Linked DNA regions of Arabidopsis thaliana. The protein of the gene in region 2 interacts with the protein of the main gene of each other region in a biochemical or structural test. Each region holds a gene or a part of one and is shown on either strand. Other genes may lie near its edges.

Evidence for each region.
Region 1: the proteins of TCP24 (region 2) and ABAP1 form a complex in vitro, tested with the Arabidopsis thaliana proteins (one study listed by BioGRID).

Annotation. Positions count from the first base shown.
Region 1 is NC_003076.8:4,141,108-4,145,039, reverse strand, and holds the start of ABAP1 (ARMADILLO BTB protein 1), read right to left. Parts: upstream 2,131-3,932; 5' UTR 2,083-2,130; coding exon 1,749-2,082; intron 1,509-1,748; coding exon 1,351-1,508; intron 1,183-1,350; coding exon 1,010-1,182; intron 930-1,009; coding exon 809-929; intron 734-808; coding exon 659-733; intron 580-658; coding exon 485-579; intron 384-484; coding exon 308-383; intron 167-307; coding exon 59-166; intron 1-58. UniProt on the Arabidopsis thaliana protein: May act as a substrate-specific adapter of an E3 ubiquitin-protein ligase complex (CUL3-RBX1-BTB) which mediates the ubiquitination and subsequent proteasomal degradation of target proteins.
Region 2 is NC_003070.9:10,628,899-10,632,830, forward strand, and holds the start of TCP24 (TEOSINTE BRANCHED 1, cycloidea, and PCF family 24), read right to left. Parts: upstream 1,733-3,932; 5' UTR 1,674-1,732; intron 1,669-1,673; exon of another isoform or gene 1,483-1,668; 5' UTR 1,312-1,482; intron 913-1,311; 5' UTR 831-912; coding exon 1-830. UniProt on the Arabidopsis thaliana protein: Plays a pivotal role in the control of morphogenesis of shoot organs by negatively regulating the expression of boundary-specific genes such as CUC genes, probably through the induction of miRNA (e.g. miR164).

The DNA.
Region 1 (3,932 bases), on a different chromosome or scaffold from region 2:
AAGAGTCAGATATTAAAAGCAACAAAACATTCACATGCTAATTCAAAAACATATATACCTGAGCCAAACGACCAAGAGCAAAAGCTGACATTTCCACGACCTGCTCATCTGATGATTCAAGCATCTTAATCAGTGGTGTAATGGCACCTCTCTGGGCAATGTGCACCTGCATGATCATGTTGCCAGTTATGTTAAATATGTTCTCTCTAGTTAGAATCCATTCAGTTATATCGTAGAAAAAAACGAGTTTGAGTGAACATAACATGTGCTAATATTATAGTACAACAAGAAAGAGACAATCCCATACCTTGCAATCTGAATCAGGCGCAGCAAATTGACCTATTAATAATGCTGCTTCTCTCTGTGTTTCCAAACAAGTGGAGCTGTAGCAGATATCATGAAAAACAGTTACAAAACATAATTCAAAATTTCAAGAGCTAGCATCTGTTCCAGCAGAAGTAGAAAGAAAGTAAAATAAGCATACCTAAGTAGACCAATTACTGGTTGTAAGGCACCAGCACGGATAACCTCTTTCTTGATGTCAGGAGATGAGTGGACAAGATTTCCAATTGCCCCAATCTGAAAGTCCATAGTACATTAGAAAGAACTGAACAAATCAAACCAATTGCAACGATCTAAAGCAAGATGAAGAACTAACCGCTTCCCCGTGAACGGTAGAATCTTGTGATTGAAGCATCAATACAAGTGTGGGTAAAGCATTCAACTCCACAATCTACATAGTTGCGCATTATGTGAGAATCATGCCTTTCATAAGCCTAAACAAAACATAATCATAGTAAAAACATACTTGACTCTTGTTCTCGTCGTTTCTAAATGAAACTGTTCGCAAGGCCCCTGCCGCAGCCCTCTGTACTTTAACATCCGGAAAATTGAGAAGCTCAACAAGTGGTGCAATGCCACCTTCAACCCTGTAAAGCATTTTTAAAAGGTGTCAAGTGAAAACAGCTAGTCATCACCATAACCAGTAAGGATCATGAGATATTAGTACCTTATATTTGTTTTAATCCTTGGATTGTCATGAGCAATGTTAGTAATTATATCAGCGGCTCTCCTAATAACAGCATTAGCAAACATGCATTCACCACATTCCCCACGTCTCTTCAACAACTTCACGGTGGGAACTATGGCTCCAGCATCCACAATAAGCTGCTGGTAACCAGGCTATTTAACAGAGAAAGCTAATATCAATATACATCAATCCAAGCTAAGTACATCTAAGATAGTTGCAAATCGCCCATTTCAAAAATTCTAATGTTAACTTCCAACAGAGATTGAAATTACACAACATCTCATCCACAATTTCATCAAAAACAGCGAAAGAAGGGTTACCTGAATCGCAGCAATAAGTCCAAGAGCAAGAGCACAATCTTTCTCTAGCTTGTGCTCGCAAGATTTGGGAACATTGCCACAAACTACCAAAGGGGATTCCAGATATCTCACCAAAGCAGGGATCGCTCCATTTTCCACGATGATTTCAACATTTTCATCTATATAAACAGATGAGAAAATCAATTAAGCCAAAAAAAAACACTTCTAGGTCTCGCCTTACTGAAAATCAAAGTACTATGGGCAAGAACAAAACAATTTCTATGTAGAATCCAAAATTAGAGTGAATCCGTTGTCGAGAATTGACTCAAAATTGAGCAACTCAAGGACGAACAAGCAAAGAGAGTAACACGTTTTCAGTTTTAGCCGCCGATTAGAGGTAAAATGAAGAAGTACGGTACCGATTTTAGCCAAATCGGCGATATCAGCAGCAGCTTCTTTGACAGCTTCGTGATCAAAATCAGGATCTGAGAAGCTGGAGTTAAGAACCTCGACGTGACGGCGAATCGCGACGACGAGATCTATGGGTTCGTCGTCAATATCAATAAGTTGTGTGACGATTGGCGCTCCATCTGTGTTGTGACTGAGTTTTCGCTTCAAGTTTCTGGCGGCGAGGCGTGTTGTTCGCTGGCGCTTGGGATGGTTCTCCATTGGCGGATGGTTTGATATCACCGGCGCAGTAGAAGATTTGACGGAGAATTTGAGCGGTGCTTTGAACGATTTTGAGATTATCATCAGGAGTGGAGAGAGCGTTTTCTTTATAATACCAAAGCCTATTTGGCGGGGTTTTGAAATTTAGTTTTTCATTTGGGAGCCAAATTTCCCTCCTTCCACTCAGAGGGAATTTATTATTTTCTTCCATTTTTTTTGTTATTTTTGGTCAAAAAGATTTTTAAATTATTTTCTCATTAAAACACTAATAAAAAGGCTAAACTAAAAATAAAAATCCTACACATATGGTGAAATTAAAATTTTATTTTTGATATATTGTCCTAGCACAAATTTTAATATATTTTCTAAAAAATATAATCTAACTTTTGGATAATTAACTTTTTAATTCATCCAAAAATTGTTTTGGATTGGGATATCTTGATTTTAATGATCACATATTCAATATAGATCTACAAATATATCAAAAAAAAAATTTCCATGTTTTGTTAATTTATTAATAGAATTCATATAAACTAGATGATAACGTAATCAACACGTTTTATTGATATAGTTAAGTATCTCTTTTTGATGGTTTCATGCCAAATTTCTAGTTCATCTAACTGTTGATCTTGCATTTAATTCACAAGTTATTTATCATTGTTAGTCTAAAAGAAGTCTAACTAACCTCGATGTAATGTCAAAATCAAATATGAGAACCAAAATCTTTTTTTTGTTGTTGCTGTGTGTTTCAAATTTGCTCTGAAATTTCAAATTTGCGAAATATTTGAAAACTATGATGTATTCAATTGTTATTTTCATGGATTATTATGAAATTCTTTTACCTCAAAAGTGGACTTGTTTCTTTTTCGCTTGTTGTTGAGATTGCTCCCATTCTTTATGTTGCTAATGAGCTTGAATCTAGTAACGCTAGGTTGACTTATTGGTATAAGTTTTTCTATAAACTCTTTTCTAACATTTTTTATTATTTTGATATTTAATTTGTTGTTTATCTGTCAATATAAAAAATACTTACATCGACAATAAAAAAAAAGTTTACTTAGGCAATACTCATTAGTACAATTTGTACACATTCAATCACGTCATCTTTCATAATATTGATATTATCCAATGATACAAAAACATAAGAGAACATTAGTAACTCTTCTAACACTAAATATATAAAATCAATGTTCAAAAATGAAAGCTCAACAAGATAAATAGTCTAATTGAAATAAAATTTTATGGTCCCTGGTTAGGGGATGTATAGCCTAGACTTGTTCATTTAAGAAAAAAGGTTCAAAAGAGGCACATATGAAAAAACAGTCTAATTGGTTTTTGGTTTGATTTGTCTGAATATGTGTTCTTATTCAATGGTGAATCCAAAAGATCTATATTAGAAACTTAGAAATCTACGATGGAGAAAAATTGTTTATTAAAATCCAACGTGTTATTATTAAAGTTATTTGTGATTACCGCAAACTTTAGATCAAACCATAAGCCCATTTAATCTAACCAAAGGTCAATATATCTTTTTTTCTTTACGGCCAAATATCTTATTAATATAAGAAGAGTTTGCTACATGCTTTGGTTAACCCAGGAGATTACATATGGTGATTCCTGAATTCTAGCGTATTTGTAGCTTCTTTAAAATTTGGTTTTCATTTAGGAGGCAAAATTAAATTTGTTCCCTCGTTCCACTTGGAGCGCCCTCGTTCCACTTGGAGCGCAAATTTGAGTAATCTTTAAAACACAAAAAAAAAGTTAAAAACGCTAAAAAAAAAAAAAAAAAATCATACACATATGGTGAAATTGAAAATTTTCTTTTGATATCCAGTCCAATTGCAGCGCAAATTGAATATTTTTTTATAAATATAATCTAGTTTTCGGATGGTAAAATTTTTAATTTATCGAAAAACTGTTTTGGATTCAGATAT
Region 2 (3,932 bases):
CTATCCATTGGAGAAGAGGAAGAAGAAGACGAAGAAATCGATGACCTTTGAGTAATGTTGTTGTTGTTATTCAGAAAGAGAGATTGTGAATTGGACTGAAGGGTCCCCCTACTACTGTAACCACCATTAATGGCAGAAGAAGAAGAAGAGATTCCAAAGTTGTAATCAGGTACAAAGGAGAATGGGTGATTCATTGGCTCTTGAGAGGAAGAGTTTGGTATTTGCAGCTGAACCGGGTTAAAGCAATCAGAACCACCGGTCCAATTCCGGTTACTCGGTTGTTGGTCAAAACCACCAGTGAGAAGCTGAGTGAATGAGCTATGAGCATTCTGCAAATCTTTATCTCTGTCTTTAGCTGTTCTTTCTCTAGCTCTCTCTCTTGCTTTCCCACGAATCTCTGTTCTTGATAACGACAACAGCGAACTCTCAGATGTTCCACTACTACAAGCAGATTTGGTCTGATTCTGATTCTGATCAAGATGATCAAAATTTGTGTTAAGCAAAGGAAGATCAGTGATTGAATCAGAAGCTGCATTGATTAACCATTCAACAGCTTTACTTGGCTGATCAAATCCAAGACGATCTTGAAGATCATAGAACTGGATTGCTGTAGCAACTGAGAGACGTATTCTTCGATCTCTTAAACCTTTTGATGTTAACACTTTGCTATGTCTATCTTTGCCACCAGAAGCTCGTGAAACCCTAATGATACGAGACGATGGATTGTTCCAATTCCTCATTAGTCCAGTGTTGTCCTCTGAGAATCTTTGTAGCTTTCTGCTTTGTTGTTCTTGATGTTTTTGTAACTCAATGTCTTCGTCAACCTCCATTGTAACGCTACTCTCATACTTTATCAGAGCTATGATAATTAAGTAAAAAGCCTGAGTATGTTGCAGTGATAAACTTTTGAATCTGCAAAAATTAAAGTAAGAAGAAATTAAAGTCACTGCTCAAAGGCTAAAAATAATAAAAATTTGTAGATCTGCCAAATCTATTCATGTTCATAGACCTATAGCTTAAGAGCCTTTTTCAGAAACCCTAAATTAATTATATAAAACCTATGAAACCTATAGGAATTTATTAAAGATTATGAGCTTTGGTGAAAATAATAAATACCCAGAAATTAAAGGAGAGATTTTTAAGTGAAGAAGATGAACAAGACTAATGATTTTGTTCTTGCTAGAAGCTTTGCCCTAAATTACATGGCAGTTTGCAAAATAAGAATCTTGATACATTAAATAAAGCAGAGATTTTAAAATATAAATAAAGGGTTTGCCTCAAAAATCACCAACAAGCTAAGAGAAAACTCACTTTGGATTACAGGTGTCAACTGTCTAAGCTCAGTGTAGAACAACAATGGCGGCGATAAGTGAAAAACAAATTTAATTTTCTTCAGATTCTTGTCATGAGCTTCTTATCTCTTCCTTCTCATGCTTAGATCTCGTCATTATAAGCATTAGAGAAGTGTTAAGATCCACAGATCTGCAATAATAGTTATATCAAAATAGTCACACAAATATAAGTTATAACATAAAAAAAACATTCGTTTTTGAGTAGTGTTTTAGGACGTTTAGATAAAGAGTATTTTCCCAGGAAAATCAGCCGAGAAAGTGAAAGAAAATTAGCAGAAAATGGGAAATGGGGAGAGAGGCTAGAGATATGAGTTTTATTACCTGTTAGAGAAAAATATCAAACAGTTGCCTTCGGACAAGGGAAGACAAGTGCACTGTTTGGACTATTTTGTACTTTCCTTGTTCTGTTCTTTTCTCTCTCTTTTACCCTTCTTTCTTTCTCCTTTTTCAATTCTGCCACTAAACTATTAGAATATCAATATTTGCCCTTTTATTTTCTTTTTCGATCAATTTGCCCTCTATTAATCGAATTATACTGAAGTATAATGTATGTTTTAATCATATAAATAAGGTTCATGACACTACATCTGATAAGACAATATAACTAGGAATAAGCATACATCCTTGATGCAAATATAGCCTATATTGTTTTAATTTACATTTTCAAGAAACATCTAACTTACATAATGTTTCATGCTATGGTGAAGAAAAGACACTCTCGAGGTGACAAAGTGGACACATGGGCTTCAAAGGCAGAAGCTTCACTTCTTGCATGCGATAAAATATATGGGGTTCTTGGCCAAATTCAGTAACCTTAATCATACAATGAATATTGGTCATGACACAAATTGTATAACTTCTTTGTTGGGCATATGCGGGAGTCCGATTTAGTCAGTACACTATGAGTTAACCGTGGCAAAAGATGCACGCTTTTACTCGGCCTACGCCAACCATGATATTTTTGTTTGCTTAGATATGGTTGAGGTTTTAGTACAAAACTTAACCGAAATAGGAAAAAAGAAACATCATGAATTAAAACATGTTGCCATCATGGGTAATGACCTATTTGGATTTAATGTAAGATAGGCCAAACATATGACTCTCAAATAAAAGTAAAGTAATTAAGAATATTAATTTTTTCTTTTGTAACAAACAAGCTTTGAGCTTTAGAACCACTTTTTGATTGTATTTTCAAAGCCTAAACAATTTAATTTCTTCCACGTAAAGACTCAAATTTGGGGAAAAATACTCAACCTTCCTTCCAAGGAAATCTTTGAAACTAAGTGAACTATCAATACTTGGTATGTAAAGTAAGAACATGATTCTAGTAAGAGTAATTATTAAATAATTTTTGAAAACTAAATAATGTTTCACAATAAGACCTGGACGATTATCCCTAACCTCGGTAGCTCAGTAAGCAAATTATTGTCAACTTGGGAACTTCTTTACACTTCCGACCAATAACGACTTTCTAATTAAGACTATTTTCTTGATAGGGAAACAATGTCAAAATTCGTTTTTGTATACTGTATAAAGCAAAGTTTAACAAATTTATAGATCTAATGTTATGTATTAGTTGTAGAAAGATAAAAATAGTAACAAAAATATTAAAATAGTACATGTCAAAGAAAATTATATACAAATTTACATGGGTTTTGTAAATTGAGTTCCATCCAGATGCAGTGAGTGAAAATAAAGCAAATATTTGCAAATAGCATACTAGTATGTCGTCACTCGTACGTCAGTCATCACATAATGTTTCAACCCATATATTATTCCAAAATATGAATCATCTTACGTACTTTTTTTTCTCCGACTCATGTTATAGTATATCAAAAAAGTTTAACTCATCTCACACGATATGTCGATACAAACCCACTTTGGGCTAACCAAATACATTCCATTTTTAGGGATATGTTGCGTTCATATATTATACTGTATCACATCACATGTCTTTAAGTAATATTTCAGAATTGTGTAAATAAATATTTGTGTGCTTCCATGAAGAATTGGTTTTTAACGTCGGGCTCGAGACTGGCTCGAGACTGCGACGCACGTGTCACTGTCCAAAGGCATTTATTGATGCACATTCAGAATATTTTGGTTCACATCGAATTTTTCACTTTTATTTTGCCAAAAATATATATTTTACTCCAGTGTCCAATGTATCTCTAATTCTCTTATGTGGTTCGAATGTATAATATATTAAACATAATTGCTTTGTGTTTCCGAACTAAGAATATAACACAAATGGTATTTTATATGGTTTTATTATTAGATAATTTCTAATGCAAAAATAGGAAAAAAACCAATTGGAATCACTCAAGTTTTCAAGAACAATACTTGTTATATGCACTTACACTTGTACTTGTCAGTTTCATGCTCAACAGCTAAAGAGTCAAGTACTACGAAACGAAGGGTCCTTAACCATTGACAATAATTAGACCAGATTATGTGTTTCTTATAAAAGTGTTTTTCTGTGTTCATATTATTCATAAGTAAATGGTCTTATCAAAATGATTTTGGTGAAATTTCAATTGTATATGGTAAGATCTAGTTCCTAGGATCTTGCTCCAATAA